Coturnix japonica: one gene and its partner. The protein of the gene in region 1 binds, or shares a complex with, the protein of each later gene. Links are inferred from orthologs where the notes say so. Each region holds a gene or a part of one and is shown on either strand. Other genes may lie near its edges. The genes, in order: RPS6KA3 and BMF.

The links.
Region 2: the proteins of RPS6KA3 (region 1) and BMF are in contact, whole or in part, in a crystal structure (PDB 8R58), measured with the Homo sapiens proteins. The link is inferred for Coturnix japonica from reciprocal best matches to the Homo sapiens genes RPS6KA3 and BMF. Residues at the interface, in NP_004577.1 of Homo sapiens: Trp252, Phe259, Phe268, Leu281, Ala283, Lys284, Leu285, Gly286, Met287, Pro288, Leu299, Arg300, Phe303, Lys304, Arg305, Asn306, Asn309; in NP_001003940.1 of Homo sapiens: Glu8, Leu10, Glu11, Asp12, Asp13, Val14, Phe15, Gln16, Pro17.

Annotation. Positions count from the first base shown.
Region 1 is NC_029516.1:105,990,289-105,994,106, reverse strand, and holds part of RPS6KA3 (ribosomal protein S6 kinase alpha-3), read left to right. Parts: intron 1-221; coding exon 222-286; intron 287-389; coding exon 390-492; intron 493-1,289; coding exon 1,290-1,414; intron 1,415-3,294; coding exon 3,295-3,420; intron 3,421-3,818. UniProt on the Homo sapiens protein: Serine/threonine-protein kinase that acts downstream of ERK (MAPK1/ERK2 and MAPK3/ERK1) signaling and mediates mitogenic and stress-induced activation of the transcription factors CREB1, ETV1/ER81 and NR4A1/NUR77, regulates translation through RPS6 and EIF4B phosphorylation, and mediates cellular proliferation, survival, and differentiation by modulating mTOR signaling and repressing pro-apoptotic function of BAD and DAPK1.
Region 2 is NC_029520.1:27,123,324-27,127,141, reverse strand, and holds part of BMF (bcl-2-modifying factor), read left to right. Parts: coding exon 1-103; intron 104-1,078; coding exon 1,079-1,242; intron 1,243-2,017; exon of another isoform or gene 2,018-2,318; intron 2,319-3,818. UniProt on the Homo sapiens protein: May play a role in apoptosis. Isoform 1 seems to be the main initiator.

The DNA of each region.
Region 1 (3,818 bases):
AAATTGATAACATAGTAATTATATTGACTAAATGCATATGCAGATTCTTGTTTAAAACAAGCTGTGAAGGAAAAGCATAGCTTGCCTGTTTGCTTTTCTGATGAACAGCAAAATATCTTTTTTTTAATTTGCATTTCTAAAAAAAGAAAATTAGTAGTAATAAGAAATATAATTTCCTAGTAATCCCTTTTGACCAAGAAAGTAATTCTTCCTTTACAAAGGAGCTGGTCCAGATGGAGTAGAAGAAATTAAGAGACATCCCTTCTTTTCCAAAATAGATTGGAATGTGAGTACCTAATTAAAAATAATAATAATAAACTTCTTAATTAAGAAGTATTTGTAGGTGTCATGAAACTTTTCTATTCACTCTGACTTACCTTTCTCTTTAGAAATTGTACAGAAGAGAAATTCATCCCCCTTTTAAACCTGCAACTGGCAGACCTGAAGATACGTTTTATTTTGATCCTGAATTCACAGCAAAAACTCCAAAAGGTAAAAAGAGAAGAATTCAACAATTTATGTATTTAAAAATTAGAAATAGTTTTCCTGTTGACTGTGTCTTGTTCTTGCAAGCTTTGCAGAGCTAAACAAATACTCAAAGAGAAATATTCCATATTTCATAAGGATTTTTGTAGTCTTGAGTGCTAATATAACATGGAGGGAGTATTGAGTTGTCCTATATAAAAATTGAAGTAATCCTCACCAACAAAGCATACGGATAAATTCAATTTTCCCATCTAAATCCCAAATAGTCACTGTTAATTTAAAGATGATTCATGTCCATCTCTTGAAAGTGATACCCTATGGTGTCATTTAATTTGTGGTAGTGTCTTTACATACTATGTATATGTTGAAATTTACTTCAGATTTTGGGGGATAAAGTTGCTGTTTGAGAGCAGTCTGATTCTGCATAGCTTGACAAAGACCCATTCAAAATATGATAGAAATTCTTGTCTCTATAAATTTAATGAGCTACCAAATTTATGAATTCTTTCTCCATAAATATAAATACACTGCTGTAGGGAAATATTTTCTGCACAGTACTGGTTTTGTATTATAAAACATTATCTAGCAGTAATACAATCTTTGAAGTATTTGGTTATCAATGGTGGCTATAATTAGGATGTGGAAATAATTCAGTACTTGTATTTCAGTACTGAAAAATACTTCATACAAATTGCAGTTTACGTACTTCATAGAATAAAGTTGTTTTGCTCTACAGTATAGTCCTAACTGCATCTCTTCATTTTAAAAAATTATGCTTTGTAAGTAGATGATATTTTTTTCAGATTCGCCTGGTATTCCACCTAGTGCTAATGCACATCAACTTTTTCGCGGATTTAGTTTTGTAGCTATTGCATCAGATGATGAAAGCCAGTCAATGCAGACAGTTGGAGTGCATTCAATTGTCCAGGTGAGTACATCAACATCAGAGGAGGGGGAAAAAGGGTCAGTTATGTAGTGTTACCCTCTCTTGGTGGAAGGGATGTTTCCTTTGTTGTAAAATGAGGCACTGTGACAGTGTCATTATCAGCTTTATACAATAAATGTAAGGATCAGATTACTTTATTCAAGCAAGGTCTTTGAAAGTGTAGGACCTTTTTCATTTCTGAGCATCCGTGAGTATGAACAGGCTTCAACCCATAAAGGAAAGCATTCTATCCTCCAAACTATAGCTACTCTTTAATATCAAGCCTTGATTGTATGATGAAGTGGAATATAGGCAGCTTCATCATTTTGTTTTACAGCCCAAAATATCGATTCCTATAGTACATGTAGGAAGCACTAGAATACAATTGCCTGGGTGTTGTGGACTGCTATTTATTTTAGGAATATATTCAACCTCTCCCAAACCAGTTTAAATTAAATGTAATAAGCTGTGACATTTTGTGGTTGTTTGTTTATCTTATAGGTCAGTGTTGCAGTATGCATAAGCTTTGGCTTCCTGCTGGTTTTAGAATGACTCCTGTAGTGTCTCCTACGTTAGTAATTGTGTGGTTGTTAATTTTAGTAGTCTAAAGCAGCTGCTATTTTTATACATTCTCTTACTTCCGGTGCTGCTTATTTTTGGACAGCAAAGCTTTGGCTGGGTGCAGTCTTGTGTGAAATAAGGAAGGGGGCTTCATGCTTGAATAGGGGAGAGCCATGCTTTGCCTCCTTGTAAGACTGTGGTCATTCTAAAGGCATGCACTGGGCAGTTTGCAGTCAGCAGGATGTAAGCAGATGCATCTACAGGAAAAAAAAAAAAAATTACTGAGGAAAACTAACTAGTGGCCTGAGCTGTGGTGGAAACTTCTCATTGATGTGTAGTAGGAACTAAATGACATGCTGTGTGATCAGATTTTTCTTATATTTTCACTGCAGGAATGTTTTGTAGCTGAGTAGCTTTTATTTCTTCATTCTTTTTACTCTGTCTGGAGTAGTTCTAATATGTTTGTCCACATTGCCCTTTTCACTTGTAATGAAATGTTGAATTTAAAGGGTTCGTAGATCCCCTTTTATTCTAAGAAGCTGTTTGATTTGGTATGCTTGTCAGAATGACTTCTGGTCCAGAAGTATTGCTAACAGTTACCAAAGCTTCTCTGTGCTCCTTCTTTCCCACATACTTTTGTGGATTATGTTCTTTTTCTTTGTATATGGCTTCCTTCTCTTGTAAAAGTCTCTCTCTAGTGCTTTTCCTCTGTGCCCCTCAACCACTTCCTCACTCATATTTCCTCTTTTCTCTGCAGCAGGATACCCAGATGGTTTCCTGCAAATGCTTTGCATCCTTTGCACAAATTCCTTATACCAGAAAGCCATTTCCTTCCCTTACAAAATTGGAACACTTCTCCTTCACGCTTTTAATTTCTGACAGGATTTTTAATTGTTGTACCATGAAATTTCCAGTTAGTCTAATCATACTGAATACCACCTGAAATTTGTAGCTGACATTTCACATGTAAAGAAAACATTCATCAATTTAGATGACAGAAATAATGATGCTTTTTTTTTATCGCTAACTGTAGCCCTCTGATCTTCTTTTGTCTGAGATTCTATCTATAAATAAATAGATCCATAAGCAGAAGAACGTCACGTTTTCAGTTTGGAAAGTGCAGTGAGCATCATTTATAATGTATAGAATTTATCTCATACTAGCATCAAACAGAAGGTAATGTCTATTGAAAACTCTTTGATCTAATATAGCTATCAGTTTAAAATTTGAAGCAAATCACTAGGAATTCAAAAACTTACTGTTAATATAAATACCAGTTTTTCATTTAGAATATTGATCAATTGATAATGTTATTTTGGTAGCAGTTGCACAGGAACAGCATCCAGTTTACTGATGGATATGAAGTAAAAGAAGATATTGGAGTTGGATCTTACTCTATCTGCAAGAGATGTGTTCATAAAGCTTCAAACATGGAATATGCTGTAAAGGTAACTACTTGGTCATAAAACAAAAAAGGGCCGTAAGTCTGTTTTTATTGTCTTTCTACATAACACTGTAGAATTGGATGGTTACTAAACAAAGATGTATATTAGCAGACTTGTAAAGTAGAGGGGGAAAAAAAAACTAATCCCATGGTGTGAAACAATTATTTTCTTGAATTGTTGAACAATTCATTACTTGCACATAGAATGCAAAGATGAATTCAGAATGTTTTCCCATATCCTTGCACTCAATTTCTCTACTGGAAAGTCTCCAAACTCAGTTTGGTAGTTATATACTTGTAACTATCCTCGTTCTAGCCAAGAACAGGTATTACTTCTGTTCTTGCAATTTAGAGTAAGTTCTTGAAATTGGAGGAAAAGCATTGCCATTAATTTTCTAAGCT
Region 2 (3,818 bases), on another chromosome or scaffold:
GAGCAGCAGGACAAGGCAACTCAAACACTCAGCCCATCCTCCTCCAGTCAGGATGTTATGTTGCCTTGTGGAGTCACTGAAGAGCCCCGGAGACTCTTCTATGGTAAGAGCACTCCAACATCACCAGCTTCTCAGCAAGGAAACTGTCCCTCCAGCACTCCCCCAGTCAGGCAGTTTCTTTCGTTAGAGCTTTAACTTAAAAGACTTAAATTATTTTTGCTTTTTTCCTATTCCCTAAAGAGCGGCAACTTGTATTTTCTTACCCTTGCTTATTGCAGGAATTCAGCACTTGCTGGTTGCTTTTGCTGTACTTGATACGTCTACTTTTTTTTCTTTTTCACTTTATTCTGTCACTTTATTTTGCTGCCAGGCATTAAAATGTTCACCATCCGCCATAGCCTACCATTTACCTGCTTTTTTTTTTTTTTAAAAAAAAAAAACCTCTTGTGCTACTCATCCACATAAGAAAACCTCCTGAAAGTTTGCAATGAAGAGAAGAAAATGCAAAAAATTCCCACCTAATGGGACAGACTTTAGGCTCTTTACTGGAATTAAGCATGTTGAATAAGTAGCACTTTACTGGTAACTGATGGGACATCATTCAGTATTGTGTACTCAGTCCAACCTTAATTCAAGTCAGTCCCACTGAACACCCAAGAAAACAACTGAGAAAAGTCTGAAGGCATAGCACATACAGAAAACCTTAAAGGGGGACAACTTAAGGCAATGATGTTGGAAGAGATGTAAAACTGTCATTAAAGAAAAACGAACACCTCTGCACTCGTCTGAACCATAAACAAGCAGAAAGAACCAAGTTGAAGATCCAGTCATTTGATTAGGGGAAGCAACACAATGTTATGCTTAATTGTTATAAATCTAATTTAAGCTGAGCAAATTAAATCTGTACTGCATGCATATGGTGTATGTGGTCATTGCTTGGGCTTTAGAAACTGGACTTTAAAATGAGTCAAAAAATCAGGATTATGTGCAACTCTTTCTGTATGCCTGAAGTGTAATACTGAATAAAAGAACTACTCTTTGTGCTAGGAGAATGACTCTGCTGGTCTTTGTTTTGTAGGGAATGCTGGTTACCGCTTACATGTCCCTCCAGTTGGCTTTGCTTTGGATCCAAATCTCCAAGAAGAGCCTCAGGAAGGTCAGCGGGAGGCACGTACTGAGGTGCAGATTGCACGGAAATTGCAGTGCATTGCAGACCAGTTCCACCGGCTCCACATACAGCGGGTAGGGTGTTTCCAGAGGGGATGGTGGGGTCTTTCTTATCCAAGAGTGGTGCTCCAGAAGATTGGCTCCAGGCTTCAGCTAAGCAGGCTGTTGCCTAAGGCAGCCACGAGCTGCCAGTAGTGACAAAACAGCATGGTATACCTATGTATTTTGCTCATGCTAGATTGATGGATCACTGTAAAAGACTGGCAGGTAGGGGGAAGAGCATGTATAGAACTGCACTTATTGTCTGGGAGGGTAGCTGCTGTTGTCTGCTATTCTGGCTCTCCTGGTTCATCAGCAACAGGGTCACTGATGCTTTCCCTAGCATTTTACTTTTCTTCTCCGCTCTCCTTACCTCCATCATCACGTCTTCTGTGGTACAGCTGGTTGTCTGTGACTTGTGTCAGTTCCTCATTTTGGAGATGACAACAAGCCTAGAGTCTGTTTTGGCACTCCTTGTTGTCTAGGGATAGATGTCTCAAGTAATAGAGTGCACTATGATCATGCTGGACTTGCTAGCAGCTCCTCTGTGGGACAGTCCTAGCTGGTGTCTCAGATTTGTGACCAACTTCCTCACAACATAATAGAGCTGTAAAATGCCATCAGGTCTGAAAAACAGAATCTTGTTTTACTTTTCTTTAAAAAAAAAGAAAAGAAAAAAGAAAAAAAAGTACTTTGCTGTTTTTTAAAGAAACAAAAGCCATGTCCCTTAAAAATGTAGATCCTTTCTCCATTCTCCCTTCCTTCCCCTACTGAATGGTAAACAAGTAGACATCCCAGCCATGCAGAGATCGGTGGCCAGAGTTCGGCAGCACTTTACTACTTGTATGCAAGTCCAGCAGGGTGTTGCAGTTTGTATCCAACTGTGCATATGAAGAAGTTGACACTCTTGCTGACTTCAGAGAGTGACTTCAAAAGCTTATCTCATTCCAAATGTGTTGGTGTTGTTAACTTGAAGTCTGTTTCAATTCTTTTCAAAGGTAAGTGAGGAGCTCTGCCCTGATCAGAGGATGTGGCTTGTAGGAGGGCAAAGTTTTAGTTGTCTCTGTGATAAGAAAGAGGGAAACAGGACTCTTCTTAAGGGGATGTTAAAGCTGTAACAGGAAGATAGAAAGGTGAATTGGGCTATGAATGTCATTTTGCAAATCACAGAAAACGATGAACAACCTCAAGCTTTTTAGCATGTGTTGCTGGTTGAACGGGGTTTTCCCCAGCGACACCTTTTCATCGCAATAGCTATCTACAGCCAGATTGTCTCAGTAAAAGGAAGGCGAATGTCTCCAGAGTGGAGGAGCCCTGGAGTAAAGTGGTGGAACTGGTTGTAACTTGACCCCTTGCATCTCGGGGACTAAACTCATATCTATGCCTTGGAAACGCATCCAAGAATGCCCACCCAAAGCAGCGCTCTGAAGCTGCCCCTGCTCTGGCTTTTGCTGCCTTTGGCCGCGGGGAGCTGCCAGCCTCCTGCGCTGTACGCAGGGCTGCGGCTCGGGCTGCCCGGCCAGCCCCAGTGCGTGCCGGCCAAGCATGTGGGAGAGTTAGTAAACAAAGGCGTCCGCCTGCACTACCCAATCCTGCAGCCAGCGGAGGAGGAGCTCTGCCGTCTTTGTTTGGACTGGAAGAGCAACAAGTTGTAAAGGGGGGGAGCTGTTCAGCCATTTACGTTTGAAAACAAAACCGAAGAAATCCAGAAACGTAACCGAGGATGGAATAGTTCAGCCAGTGGTTCTCCACAGCCCGACCCTGGGACAGGCTTTGGCATTCGTATCTGCTGGGGGATTCTTTCTCGTTTGTCAGGGGAACTTCTTGCTGAGCCACATCGTAGTGTCTGAGGCACTGTTCCCCATGGAGTGTTTTGTTGACATGTCCAGTCCCCTCCAAGCCCTGCATGGAGGATTTCCTATGGCTTTTGGCATGGCTTCATGCAGCCCCTATGTCCTGTGTGCAGTGACTTTTTGCAGCCTGCCACTGAGGAACTGAACAGTCTGAATCTGGAGAGGCATGGACTGGCTTGACAATGTGTTGTGGGGCAGTCTGGGACATGGAAAACCAGGCTGTCATCTGGCTTGCTGCAAAACTGAACACAGATTTGGATGCCCCATTCCAACCTGTCTCAAAGTGCCAGTCATAATCAGCTTCCCAAAGTGATGTCTAGAATCAGATTTAGAAAACCACAGAGTTAGTCACACCACTGTGGTCTTGTGAAGTCCTGAGAAAGAGCATGTCTGGTTTTCAGCAAGCTGTGCCTCTTCTTGGGGACTATAAAACATCTTATCTGGGAACTTGTGAAAAGAAAAAAACATGCTCTCATTCAGCAGGAGTTAGGAGAGACTTTCAGTGTTGGAGTAATTCATGTGGCCAGCTCAAGAGTTGCCCTCACTTGGCTCTTGAGTTCTGTGAGACACTCCAGCAGTTCAGGTATAGCGCTCATGTTACTCCTGCAGCAGCAGAGCTGTGTTGACACAAAGGCTGTTGGTCGTTCCCTGGCTGTGAGAGGGAACTAAACAGGCAATTGCTGCTGAGGTTGACGTCACTGAGTTGTCATTGGACTCAGCTGCACGCACAATCTAACCCCATCCCACACTGGGAACCCG